Drosophila melanogaster: one gene and its partners. The gene in region 1 interacts genetically with each later gene. Each region holds a gene or a part of one and is shown in the gene's direction. Other genes may lie near its edges.

Region 1 (3,753 bases):
GTGAGATGGCTACAGGTAGTTAGAAGCTATTAGTAGCCTTTCGCTAGGCGGAACAAACGATTACTGAATGGAAATGAAGGCGGTGCTGGTTATATGCTTTCGTATCTAACACGGTGAATCGATGTTTTTCGATAAGGAATTATAGTCACTTAAAGTTATCTTTGGGCAAAACCAAACGTCACGGGCTTATCAACTACAGTTCTGGTCTTCTAATAATCAAAGATTTTTTGTATATATAGTGACACTAATCGGTTTTAATAATAAACTGAAATATTTTTCAAACAAATGAAACGGGGTATAAACAAATTAACTATGTAGCTACCAAAAACATCGATCACCTTGCTATCTACAGTTACTACTAATTAACTACAATTAGCAGCGTCATGTTGAATTTCGCCAAAAGGGCGATTAGATTAGTAACTTATCTACCAGTGCAACTAAAGCATGCATAGAGTGATAAGAAAGTGTACTTTTGGGTGAATCAAAAACGATTTTATGCAAACTAATGGCTCTAGCTAATGGCTTACATCGACTGCTGCGCGGAATGCAGCGGGTGCCCGAGGAGACAGCACCGCACCAGGGAAAGCAGGCCACAATGGCGTCCAACTGCTCATAGGTATCGCTAATGACTGTGCAGCATATCCCAGATTATCCAGAAGTGTGCAGGAAGAGAGGAGAACAACATAACCGTGTAAGCCACTCCGAAAAATGGAAAACCATCAACCGAATCGAACAGAACGTGAGAAAGGTAAACCAAAACAACCCAAAGAGAGTGCAACCAACAGAAGGATAATTCGTACTTGAGTTGGACACCTCCTTCACGTACTGCAGGGCCAGTCGTTTCAGATAGTTGGCATCCTCCTCGGCCACGAAAAAACCCATGAAGTTTTGACTCATGTAGGGCTCCAGTTTAAGGGGGCGATCCAACAAGGCGCCCGTCATGTCCACCACCTGTTTGAGCGCCTTGGACAGCTGCAGCGAGCACTCATCGGGGGCCTGTAATTTCGATTAGGTGAATAAATAAAGTCTGGATAATCCAACTTAAGCTCACTTTAAAAAACGAAACCAGGGTTATGTGAGGCACGTAGTTGTGTGCTCCATTCCAACCGCACATTTGGCGCGACTTGGCCCAGAACTCCTCCAGCTGCTGCAGAAACGGACCCGTGGGACAAGCATATATAATATATTCCCTGGGGGCGCACTCGTCCAGGGTGCCATCGTTGACATGTGCCAGCAACCAATCCGAGGCAATCTGGACACCACGATTACCAGTTGAAGCCAAAGCTTTCTCCCTGTGTAGGGGTAAGCAAAAAAATCAATACTCTGATTCTATGAAACAAATCAACATAGTGGGTCACTCGCACGCATAGCCACTATATCTTGGATGGAACCTAGAGCAGCTGGTGACTGCCAATACGCTATGCATAGAAAACTCACGCTCTATGCCTGGGAAACCCCATTTGGAGCAATGTTTGGAGCGGCGTCAGATGCTGCTTAGAGATGCAGATCCTCGTAGGGGTCTGACTCTTACGCGGCGGAAGCGTGGCCATTTCGATTATAGCCTCCTATGTAAGCCCAGGTGACCACCGTTTAGCAGCTTTTGGTTTTTCCTGGCTGTTCAATATTTTTCAGTGATAATTTCAACAAAAATAGGATACAATTCGTTAATTGGCCACAAAAAAGTGTTGGCTAACGACAGCCTAAAGATAGTCAACTTCTACCGATAGCTGTAACACGACTGCACTATCGATAACCAGTACTGACCAGTAGAGATGAGAGCGATTCTCCTAGCGAGACAACAACAAAATTCACTGCGTAATTAATTGAATATTTTTTAGTAAAACCGAAGCGCCCCACAAAGAAACAGCTCTTGGAGTGTTCACCAGTGTTCAAAGTGAGTGCCACTACAAAAGGAATTAGGCGAATAGCAAAAGCAAAGCGTTAAAAAGAGTGTTACGCAGCAGGCGAAAAGTGCATGGAAAATGCCAGTGGAGCCCCACATCAAACATACACACGCACACTCGAAAAACGTACACAACAAAGACCCACGCACACCGACGCAATTAGTGGCGTAGTTGTAATGGTGGAGCACAAAAACAAGTTGTTCATGGTCTAAAAAAGGGGGGCGGGGAGTTTATCTCCCTTTGGAGAGTCCACTTTCGCACTATTTTCGATTGCACCATAGTGACTCCCCCTGCCATCGAGGACTTTGAGGAAATGGGCGTTTTCCCAGGCACTTTTCCTGGTATTCCAGACCCGCTTTATTAGCTCGACCTCGTCTTTGTCTGTACTCAGCGCACTTTCTCCGCTGCGCCAATAGTGATCACGCTTTATCGCCTCGATGCGGGCACCTCCCTCCCCTACTGACCGCCTGTTCACACAGTCCAGCGATCACACACTGCGGATTGCTCAGAGTGACTCACCCGATTTGTTTATCACCCAGCACGGCGTAGCACAACTGCTCGTCATTACAAACATTTTACAGCTGCGAATGGCTTGCACTTCGAGCACTTAGGCAGTCAGGTCCTGGCAGAGATTACGGCTTTCATTGGCATGTAGTTTAGACTCTAGAGGTTTGCGCAGTTCACTTTCATTTATCTTAGGAAAGAAACCATCACACCCCTACACTTCCTAATCGAATTAGAGGAAACCGCAATGGTATTTTTAACACACAATCAATAATATTCTGTGGTTTTCAGCACCAAATACCAAAAGAAATAACCCCGAGTAAGCCAACGCCACAAACTGCATCGAAATGTCCGGACGTAAGAAATCCCTACTGAAAGTCATCATTCTGGGCGACAGCAGTGTGGGCAAGACCTCTCTGATGAATCAGTATGTAAACAAACGCTTCTCCAACCAATACAAAGCCACGATCGGAGCTGATTTCTGCACGAAAGAGGTGGTGGTCAACGACCGAGTGGTCACAATGCAGGTAAGCACTATGAACTTCCAGTAATCCTATTTCAGTGACATAACTCGCAAAATTTCAATAACAGATCTGGGACACTGCTGGTCAGGAACGCTTCCAGTCGCTTGGAGTGGCGTTTTACCGCGGAGCCGACTGCTGCGTGCTTGTCTACGATGTGACGGCGCCCAACTCGTTCAAGAATCTCGACTCCTGGCGCGACGAGTTCCTCATACAGGCCAGTCCACGGGATCCCGATCACTTCCCCTTCGTTGTGTTGGGCAATAAGGTGGATTTGGACAACCGCCAGGTGTCCACGCGTCGAGCGCAGCAATGGTGCCAATCTAAGAACGATATACCCTACTACGAAACGTCCGCCAAGGAGGGCATCAACGTGGAGATGGCGTTTCAAGTTATAGCCAAGAATGCGTTAGAGTTGGAGGCGGAGGTAAGAAATCCTATTTAAATATTGTTTTCCATACTAAATCGAACTTTGTACTTTCACACAGGCTGAAGTTATCAACGATTTCCCCGATCAGATTACCTTGGGCTCGCAAAACAATCGTCCTGGCAATCCTGACAACTGTCAGTGCTAATGTAACAACAACGCAAAATGGATAATTACACAATCTATATTATTAAATAATATTTCCAACATAATAATGAACATGAGAAGCAAGCAACACAAAGGACGATAGAGGAAGGTGTTATATGATTAAGTAAAACAATTTCAGCAAAACAGCATAGTAATTAATTAACTGATAGGATGCAAAGTTCAGATTCAGATCAACATCAGCTGAGTCTTAACGAGCCTCTGGCAAAGGCTTAACCAGTATACCCACTTT
Region 2 (3,753 bases), on another chromosome or scaffold:
CCGCAAATACCGTGGATCAAGGACCTCCACCAGCCTGAAAGTCAAGGGACTTTTGGGCCGCGTGTGGACTCGGGACTCCAAGTCGAAGAGCTGCGAGAATCTGCATGTACTCTAAGCACAGAGATTATCCAAAGTGTAACCCACAAGTTTCCTATAGAGTATGCAAGATCCTAAGTTAAAGAAGAAACAGACTCGACTACTACCGGGGGTATTATTCCCAACTGTACATATTGTGTATAATTTTAGTCTTAATTTACGCTAGTCACTTCCTCCATTAATCATTGTATATAGTTTGTCTAAATATAAAACTATTATTTGTAATTGGTTTTTTATGCTCTTTCGTTTTCCTCTAAGCATGAGTTGGGATAATTTTGAATGCTCGTTGTAATACGGCGACTGGAATAAATTAGTTATATTTTTGATTGAAAGAAATCGTAATACAAAGGAATCCAAATAAAAAGCAATAATTTTTAAAATGAGAAAATAATATTTTACCCTTGTTCGTGGACGAATGAATACCAATTGTACTGATTTTTTGAAGATATGGCGCTTGTCCGCCGAATGAAACTTATTGTTAATTATATACGTGTAGTTATACATTTGTAATGGCATTGAATCTCGTTTTAAAATGGCATAAATATTCACATGAATGTTGATTGAATTAAAAGTTCATAATATAATTGATCGATTGCAAACCAGAAACTATATTAACCACATTGTGCAATTTTGCTTAAATAGACCTAGGGATTATTATGCCGTAATTGTTAAACAAAACCATTTTTTTAAACAAAGAAGCCCATCGTGCACCCACAATCCGCACGCCCTAGGTTTCTCAAGTTAGTCGGGACCATTTCAAAATTAATCAAAGATAGCAGAAATACGAAAGAAACACTAGATTTACACAAGGGCTACTTTTAGGTTCATGTCAGCGTAGTTTTACATTAATGCAATATGTGATTTTACACATGGTCCACTAAATCAAGAGCCTAAGCAAAACCATTTTGTTAACGTGTGCAATGCGACCTGCTGTATCAAATATTGAGGTCGGATCGAGAATTTGTAGATTTTTAACTATTAATGTGAACACTAGTAGTGTAGGGCAAATCACACAACTATTCCATAACAATCTAGATGTCCATTAAATGTATTATAAATGTCCATTAAGTATTATAATCACCAACAATTGCAGCACAATGGAATTTAACGGATTTGGAACATTCAAGGAAACCCCCAAATAATACGTGCATCCTAACATGTGTGTAAGATATCCGATCTATAACAGATAGTTAAAATATATACATATAGCTGTAATTGATTTTTGTCCAGAACTCTGTGTATTATTCTCGCTCAACATGAATGAATATGAATTCGAGCCGAAAACTATATAGGAAAGTGATAAAAGCACACTCGATTTTGCACAGATTGTCATATGATGTATAAGGAAAAGCGAAAGTCAGCCATAAATGTAAGAAGCAGCAGAGTGGTGAAAAGTTATCAATTGAATGCATGTTTTAATTTTTCCGCTCCGATAATATATGTCTAATGAGTGTGTATTAAATGTGAAAAGTTAAATTTAAATGTTTTCCAAATCGTGTTTTATTTTGGGGGTTTAATTACAAGGTGCACGGTCTGCAAGCAGGGTAAGTAAAAATTAGTTTAAATGTTGAAAAATGATTTTCATCCATATCATGATTAATTGACTATGTTATATTGTACAAACGTTCACATTTTTTAAAGCTTGCCATAGTAGCTTTCGTTACTATATAGATACTCACCACACTTGATTTACCGAAACTGTTAGCTTACATAGTATGTAGGTATGTATTTGCTAACAGACAGCTTAATTGTTATCTACTTTGATGTCGTGGCATTTGTTTAATAGAAGTAAATTTCGTTTCACCATTTACATGAAGAATAAAGAAGAAAAAGCTATGATAAATTAAAAATTAATACAATTTTACATTTTACTCAATAGTAGTATTTCCAATTAGAACTCTGTTCCAGTTGGAATTCTTCGGTATATTTGGTATATTCCTGGGAGAAACAATGGGTCACACTACGAAGTAGAGGAAATAAATACAAACAAATTGGGCTGTGTAGCGGAATTTAAATTTAAACTTTATCAACGGCAGTGTTAATTAGCGAACCTCTCGGCAAAAATGAATATAAATCTGCCGAATTTCAATGTGAAGAACCTGGTGAAGGAGGCGGGCAGCACAATATCACGAGTGGTGCAGGTGAACAAATCAATGAATTTGGGTGGCTGAAAAAAAAGCGGGTGGTGGTGAACTTTCGGTGGTTGGGCAAATGACAGATGTACCCCAAACCAATCTCAAGCACTTTCGTTGTTTCTTTGCCCTTTTCAACGGCTCTCCATTGTTTTCAATGACCTTTTCAGCTCACGGAGGAGAAACTGGGCACCACGGAGCGCACCGAGTACGACTTGCACTTCCAGAATCTCGCCGAGCGGGCTGATGTGACCAAGACATGGACGGAGAAGATAGTGCGCGACACAGAGTCGGTGCTGATACCCAATCCTCAGAACCGGGTCGAAGACTTCATCTTCGAGAAGATTGAAAAGTCGAAGCCAAAAAGGTTGAGCAACCTAGAGCACCTGGCTCTGGACATGATCGAGGCTGGGGGCGATTTCGGGCAGGATTTACCCTATGGTCAGGCTCTGATCAAGGTCGGCCAAGCGGAACAGAAACTGGGCCAGTGCGAGCACGACTTTATAGCCACCTCGGGCATTTGCTTTACACAGCCGTTGCGCAAGTTCCTAGACGGCGAAATGAAGACAATTGGCAAGGAGCGAGGCATCCTGGAGACCAAGCGCCTGGATCTGGACGCCTGCAAGAACAGGGTGAAGAAAGCGCGCAGCATGCTGGGTCAGCAATCGGTAAGTGGGTGGGATTTGATGGGGTTTCCTTATTGCAAGGGGGTATGATTGATTGGGTTTCGTAATGGCTTTTTCACTCACGGTCTTTTTCTGCCCTCTGCTGCCCGGAATTTTTAGAAAGATGGCATCTCGCCAGAGGCCGTCTTGGAACAGGTATCAAAACCTTGACCGAGCTCGTGCTCTAGATTTATGGCTAATCAATGAGCCAATTTCTAATTGCGATTTTTTCTAGGCGGAACGGGACTTGCGGGTGGCTCAGGCCGAGTTCGACCGGCAGGCGGAGATTACCAAGCTGCTGCTGGACGGGATCAGCACATCGCAGGCATCTCATTTGCGCCACTTGCACGCCTTCATCCAGACGCAAGTGCGCTACTACAAGCAGTGCGGCGATGTCATGGAGCAGCTGCAGCGTGAACTGGCCAAGTAAGTAGTAGGCGATCGATAGAGAATGACTGTGACTTCCACGTAGGCACCAAACGAATCTTTTCTTGCACACCAAAACACCATGTCCCATCCTTGATGAAACCCGTGGTCCCTTCTGGTGGTCTCACTGTGCGTTATGATATCTGCTTGTGGTCTTACAGAATGCAGCATCCCAAGCCACGCCTGCGTATCAATAGCGAAGACGTTGATTGTGGGCCTCCCAGCTCGGTGTCGATGCATTCTTGTGATTCCGATTCATTAGGGGGGATAGCCCTAGATAGCGATCCAGATCCCGATTTGGACAAGTCGCTTACGAATCTGCTCGAAGACTTTCACATAGAATTCGATACGACAGCCGTCTCCACAGTTTAGGGGTCTTGTTATTGTGATCTTCATATCGAATCGGATTCCATGCCCAGTTAACATTAGCATTT
Region 3 (3,753 bases), on another chromosome or scaffold:
GTTCCTAAAGCCAACTTACCTTGCTGCTTGGCCCGAAAGCAGACCATGCGGATCCCTTTGCACCGTCCTGAACTGCTTATTATAGTACTCGCGCTGTTCCGGGGTTATCTGGTAAATGGTCACCAATTCGCTCTCGTTGTCATCGTCGTCGCTGCTGTGGCGATCGGAAGACTCTTCCTCCGTGCCTAGCAGCTGGCGATGCTCGTCGCCCAGCAAACCCTGCCAGAGGGTGTCCTGCGCCCAAGGCCGCTCAGCCACGCTGTTGGTGGGCGTGGGGCTGTCACTGTTAGTGCTCCAGGCTTCTGGCGATCCACCACCAGTACCGCCTCCTCGTCGTCGCTAAAAGAGATAAGGCATGGACGGGGATCGGTCAATGGTAAGCTTATTTACAAATGTCACAAGATAAGATAGAAGTACAAACCCCGACATTTTCGCGGCTGCTGCTGCTGACGACCCCACAGCCATCCGTACCTCGTCCATGGCCTGTCGCATCGTCCACTGATTCGTTTTGCTCAACCTCGGAGTCGGTGCTGGGCACATCAGAGGTGTCTTGCAGCTGCTCTTGCTGCGAGTTACGACGCAGTGAATTTCTGCGATCTGTGGGTGGTGGCGGTGGCAAGGCAGTCAATCCATTTTCGACAGCCACCGGAGCTGTAACCGCCTCCTTCCAGCTAAAGTGCGGTAATGGAAGCGGAAACGTGGCCAAGATCAGCTCCTGGCGCAGGGGCATGGCCGCCTGATGAGCAGCGATTAGCTTCAGGCATGAGTAGAACTGTGTCCGCGAGATGTGTAGCGCCGTGGAGGGTATCCCCGCCAGACCGGTGATCTATAAGCCCAGACCCAGATAATTAATCACTCACGATCACACAAATTGGACCTACCTCAATCACGGTCTCATTGGCGATGTCCGCCGAGCGAAAGAGCTCGGTGGCCTTAAGCATGGGCACCTTGCCTGTCTTCTCCACGTCGCAGCATTGGAACAACTCACTGTAGAAGCGCGTCTCCGGCTCAGTGAGGGACACGTCCATGCCTGTCGCCTACTTGTTGCCGTCTCTGGTTTCGTTTACCAAGCCGCTGGTTAACGAGCCACGCCCCGTTCGTCCGTCCTGGACCCGGAATCCAATTCGTTTGTTTACTTCCACGTTTAACCCAGCAGGCCAGTGCCGACCCCGCTGCCCCGCGCTGCTCACAACCAGAAGTCTGATGATTTTCTGCCTTTGGCCCCCAAGACGGAGTTGGAGGAGGTGGAAGCTGGGAGAACTGCGGGGACGATGGTTTCGCTAACTTCTTGGTGCCACCACAACCACGATGGTTAGAGGATTCACGGCACTGGTCGACGAGGGTACACCTAGTGCCTCAAGCTGCTCGGCGCACAATCAATTTGGCTTTTTGTCCAGGTTTTTTTTCGCAAACTCTTTTGCACTGTGTGTGCGCTGGCTCTCGATATCGATAGGTTGCGGTATCGATTCGATTAGACAGCTGGCGCGGCAGCCCTGTACCTGTTAGCGTTTCGCAGCCCTAGTTACCGGCAAAAGTTTAGTTCCGCAGGATTGATGTTTTGTAAGGTGGCTTACCATGTTCATTTATATTTCATTATGGATTAAACTATAATAAAATTTAATGTTGCTGAATGAAGAAAAAATCATTTCTTCATTATTTTTAACGATATTTTTTTAACCGTCAACAAATTTCCTGTAGCCCTGTGCCACTGACGTCACCAATTCGCAAAGACTTTCCTGCGTCACCTTTCGTTGCACCACAGTGATCCCCACTCTGTTATTGTTGTCTGCGGCTGAACTGTTGCGACGCAAAAATTTAAAGGATTTGAAAGTCTTTATAGACTTATTTTAGTTAATAAACAGCCTCTGTGCAATCAAGGATGTTCTCCAGAAAGAAGCCAGAGCCAGCGAAAAGAAGGCAACACGATTTATCGCAGGTGAGAGGAAAAACAAACAGTCTAGATCCGTCTATTTATTAATTATGACTCATCGTTTGGACTGTCTTTTTTGTTTTTTGTGTTTAGTTCGGTCTTACGGAAATCCCAGATGATTTTGATCCCAGCGCTGGATATGGTGAGGACGATGGGGGTGACAGTGATTTGGAGGCAGAGCTTGCGGCCATAACCGGCGGAGAAGGAGCCAAGCCAAAGCCCAAGCCCAAAGCAAAGCTGTTACCCGCCAGTGATTTGGACAAAATGATAGCCGACAGCTTGCGTGATGTCAGCGACGATGATGATGATGACAATTTGGAAAGCGATCCGGATCTTCTTGGCGAGCTGAGCGGAATCGGTGGTCTAGAGGAGGCAGAGGAAGAGGAGCCTGTCGCACAACCGCCAGCTGCCTCTGAGGAACCCGTCCAGACCTTTCTGCCCACGACGACTGTGGACACATTAAGCATTATCAAACAGCGCCTGGAAATGTACAAGCAGGCCGAGGCCAATGCCAAGACTGCCGGCGATTCTGGCAAAGCAAGGCGATTTGGAAGAGGCCTTAAGACTCTGAAAGATCTGCACAGGCAGGCAGCGGCTGGCAAGTCCATTAACGTGGATGACATTCCACCTGAAGTCAGTGTAAAGCCAATTGGCGGGCAGGCTCCTCCAGTGCCTGCAGAGGAGTCACCAGCTCCTTCCACACCTGCTTCCCCTCCGCCTGTGCCTAGTCGTGCAGCTCCAGATCCACCAACCCCCGGCACCCCCGTGGAGCCCACTACATCTGTGGCTCCCACATCTCCCCCTAATCCTCTTGTGACGCAAATGCGCAGCCGCCAGACGGACTACAAAGCTGCTGCACTGCAATCTAAGCGCAGTGGTGACATATCTACTGCCCTTCAGTTTCTCAAAGTGGTCAAGCAATTTGACGTAGTTATAAAAATGTGTGAAGACGGACAGGAAGTTGATTTGAGTGACATGCCCCCTCCACCAGCTGAGTTTCTTGAATTCCTTAAAAAAATGCAAGAAGAAGCAGCCGCAGAAGCTGTCGCAGAACCTACTGCTGCCCCAGAACCCACACCTGTTGCTCCTGCTCCTGTTCTAGCAGCTGCAACAAATATGTTGGAGGCTCTGCAGCAACGTTTAGAGAAATATCAATCTGTAGAAGCGGCAGCCAAGGCAGAAAACAATAGCGGAAAAGCAAGACGCTTTGGAAGGATTGTGAAGCAATACGAAGATGCCATAAAGTTGTACAAGGCAGGCAAACCAGTGCCTTACGATGAGCTGCCTGTGCCACCAGGTTTTGGACCGCTGCCTACGGCTGATGCTGCTCCTGTCGCGCCGACACCGTCGCTGCCCACTTCGCCTACATCTCCACCGCCAACAGCAAGTACTTCCGCAGGAGGAACACCCTCCAGTTCCAGTGCGACGACACCTACAGCTCCTCGAAAAGCACCTTCACCTCCTAAGCCCAAAGAGTTAACAACACGCACGTCTGGCAATCAGCAGAAGAATAATATTGCCGAGCAACAAATGAAACTGCTCCTCGAGCGCCAAAAGGAGTTTAAGCTAGCTGCTATAGAGGCCAAAAAAGCGGGAGAAATAGATCAGGCGAAGGAGTACCTCAAGATCTTCAAGGGATTCGATTCCCTTCTTAATGCAGCGAGTAGTGGATTGCCAGTGGACCTCAGCACTGTAAGTTTTGCATTACATCTTCTTCTTGTATGGCTAACTATATATTTTTTTTTTTCAGCTTCCCGTCCCGCCTTCACAAAGGGATAATCTAGAAGCCTCCTTTGCCATTGTATCTGCTGAGGAATGCGATC

The links.
Region 2: of Rab7 (region 1) and EndoB, changing one suppresses a phenotype caused by changing the other (phenotypic suppression), as found in Drosophila melanogaster (one study listed by BioGRID).
Region 3: of Rab7 (region 1) and l(2)gd1, changing one suppresses a phenotype caused by changing the other (phenotypic suppression), as found in Drosophila melanogaster (one study listed by BioGRID).

Annotation. Positions count from the first base shown.
Region 1 is NT_033777.3:23,991,247-23,994,999, forward strand, and holds the start of Rab7 (Rab7), read left to right. Parts: upstream 1-1,761; 5' UTR 1,762-1,894; intron 1,895-1,932; exon of another isoform or gene 1,933-2,030; intron 2,031-2,486; exon of another isoform or gene 2,487-2,573; intron 2,574-2,699; 5' UTR 2,700-2,755; coding exon 2,756-2,935; intron 2,936-2,999; coding exon 3,000-3,356; intron 3,357-3,417; coding exon 3,418-3,504; 3' UTR 3,505-3,753. Other genes in the region: Epp (ecdysteroid phosphate phosphatase), read right to left, coding at 1-9, 528-629, 801-996, 1,052-1,292, 1,438-1,550. UniProt on the Drosophila melanogaster protein: Small GTPase which cycles between active GTP-bound and inactive GDP-bound states. In its active state, binds to a variety of effector proteins playing a key role in the regulation of endo-lysosomal trafficking.
Region 2 is NT_033778.4:19,308,959-19,312,711, reverse strand, and holds the start of EndoB (endophilin B), read left to right. Parts: upstream 1-2,046; 5' UTR 2,047-2,159; coding exon 2,160-2,237; intron 2,238-2,398; coding exon 2,399-2,896; intron 2,897-3,013; coding exon 3,014-3,049; intron 3,050-3,128; coding exon 3,129-3,319; intron 3,320-3,480; coding exon of another isoform or gene 3,481-3,685; intron 3,686-3,753. Other genes in the region: Rgk1 (Rad, Gem/Kir family member 1), read left to right, coding at 1-115.
Region 3 is NT_033779.5:11,105,186-11,108,938, forward strand, and holds the start of l(2)gd1 (lethal (2) giant discs 1), read left to right. Parts: upstream 1-1,757; 5' UTR 1,758-1,879; coding exon 1,880-1,936; intron 1,937-2,023; coding exon 2,024-3,622; intron 3,623-3,680; coding exon 3,681-3,753. Other genes in the region: Reps (RALBP1 associated Eps domain containing), read right to left, coding at 20-339, 422-826, 882-1,028. UniProt on the Drosophila melanogaster protein: Phosphatidyl inositol monophosphate binding protein involved in endosomal protein sorting through regulation of the endosomal sorting required for transport (ESCRT) pathway.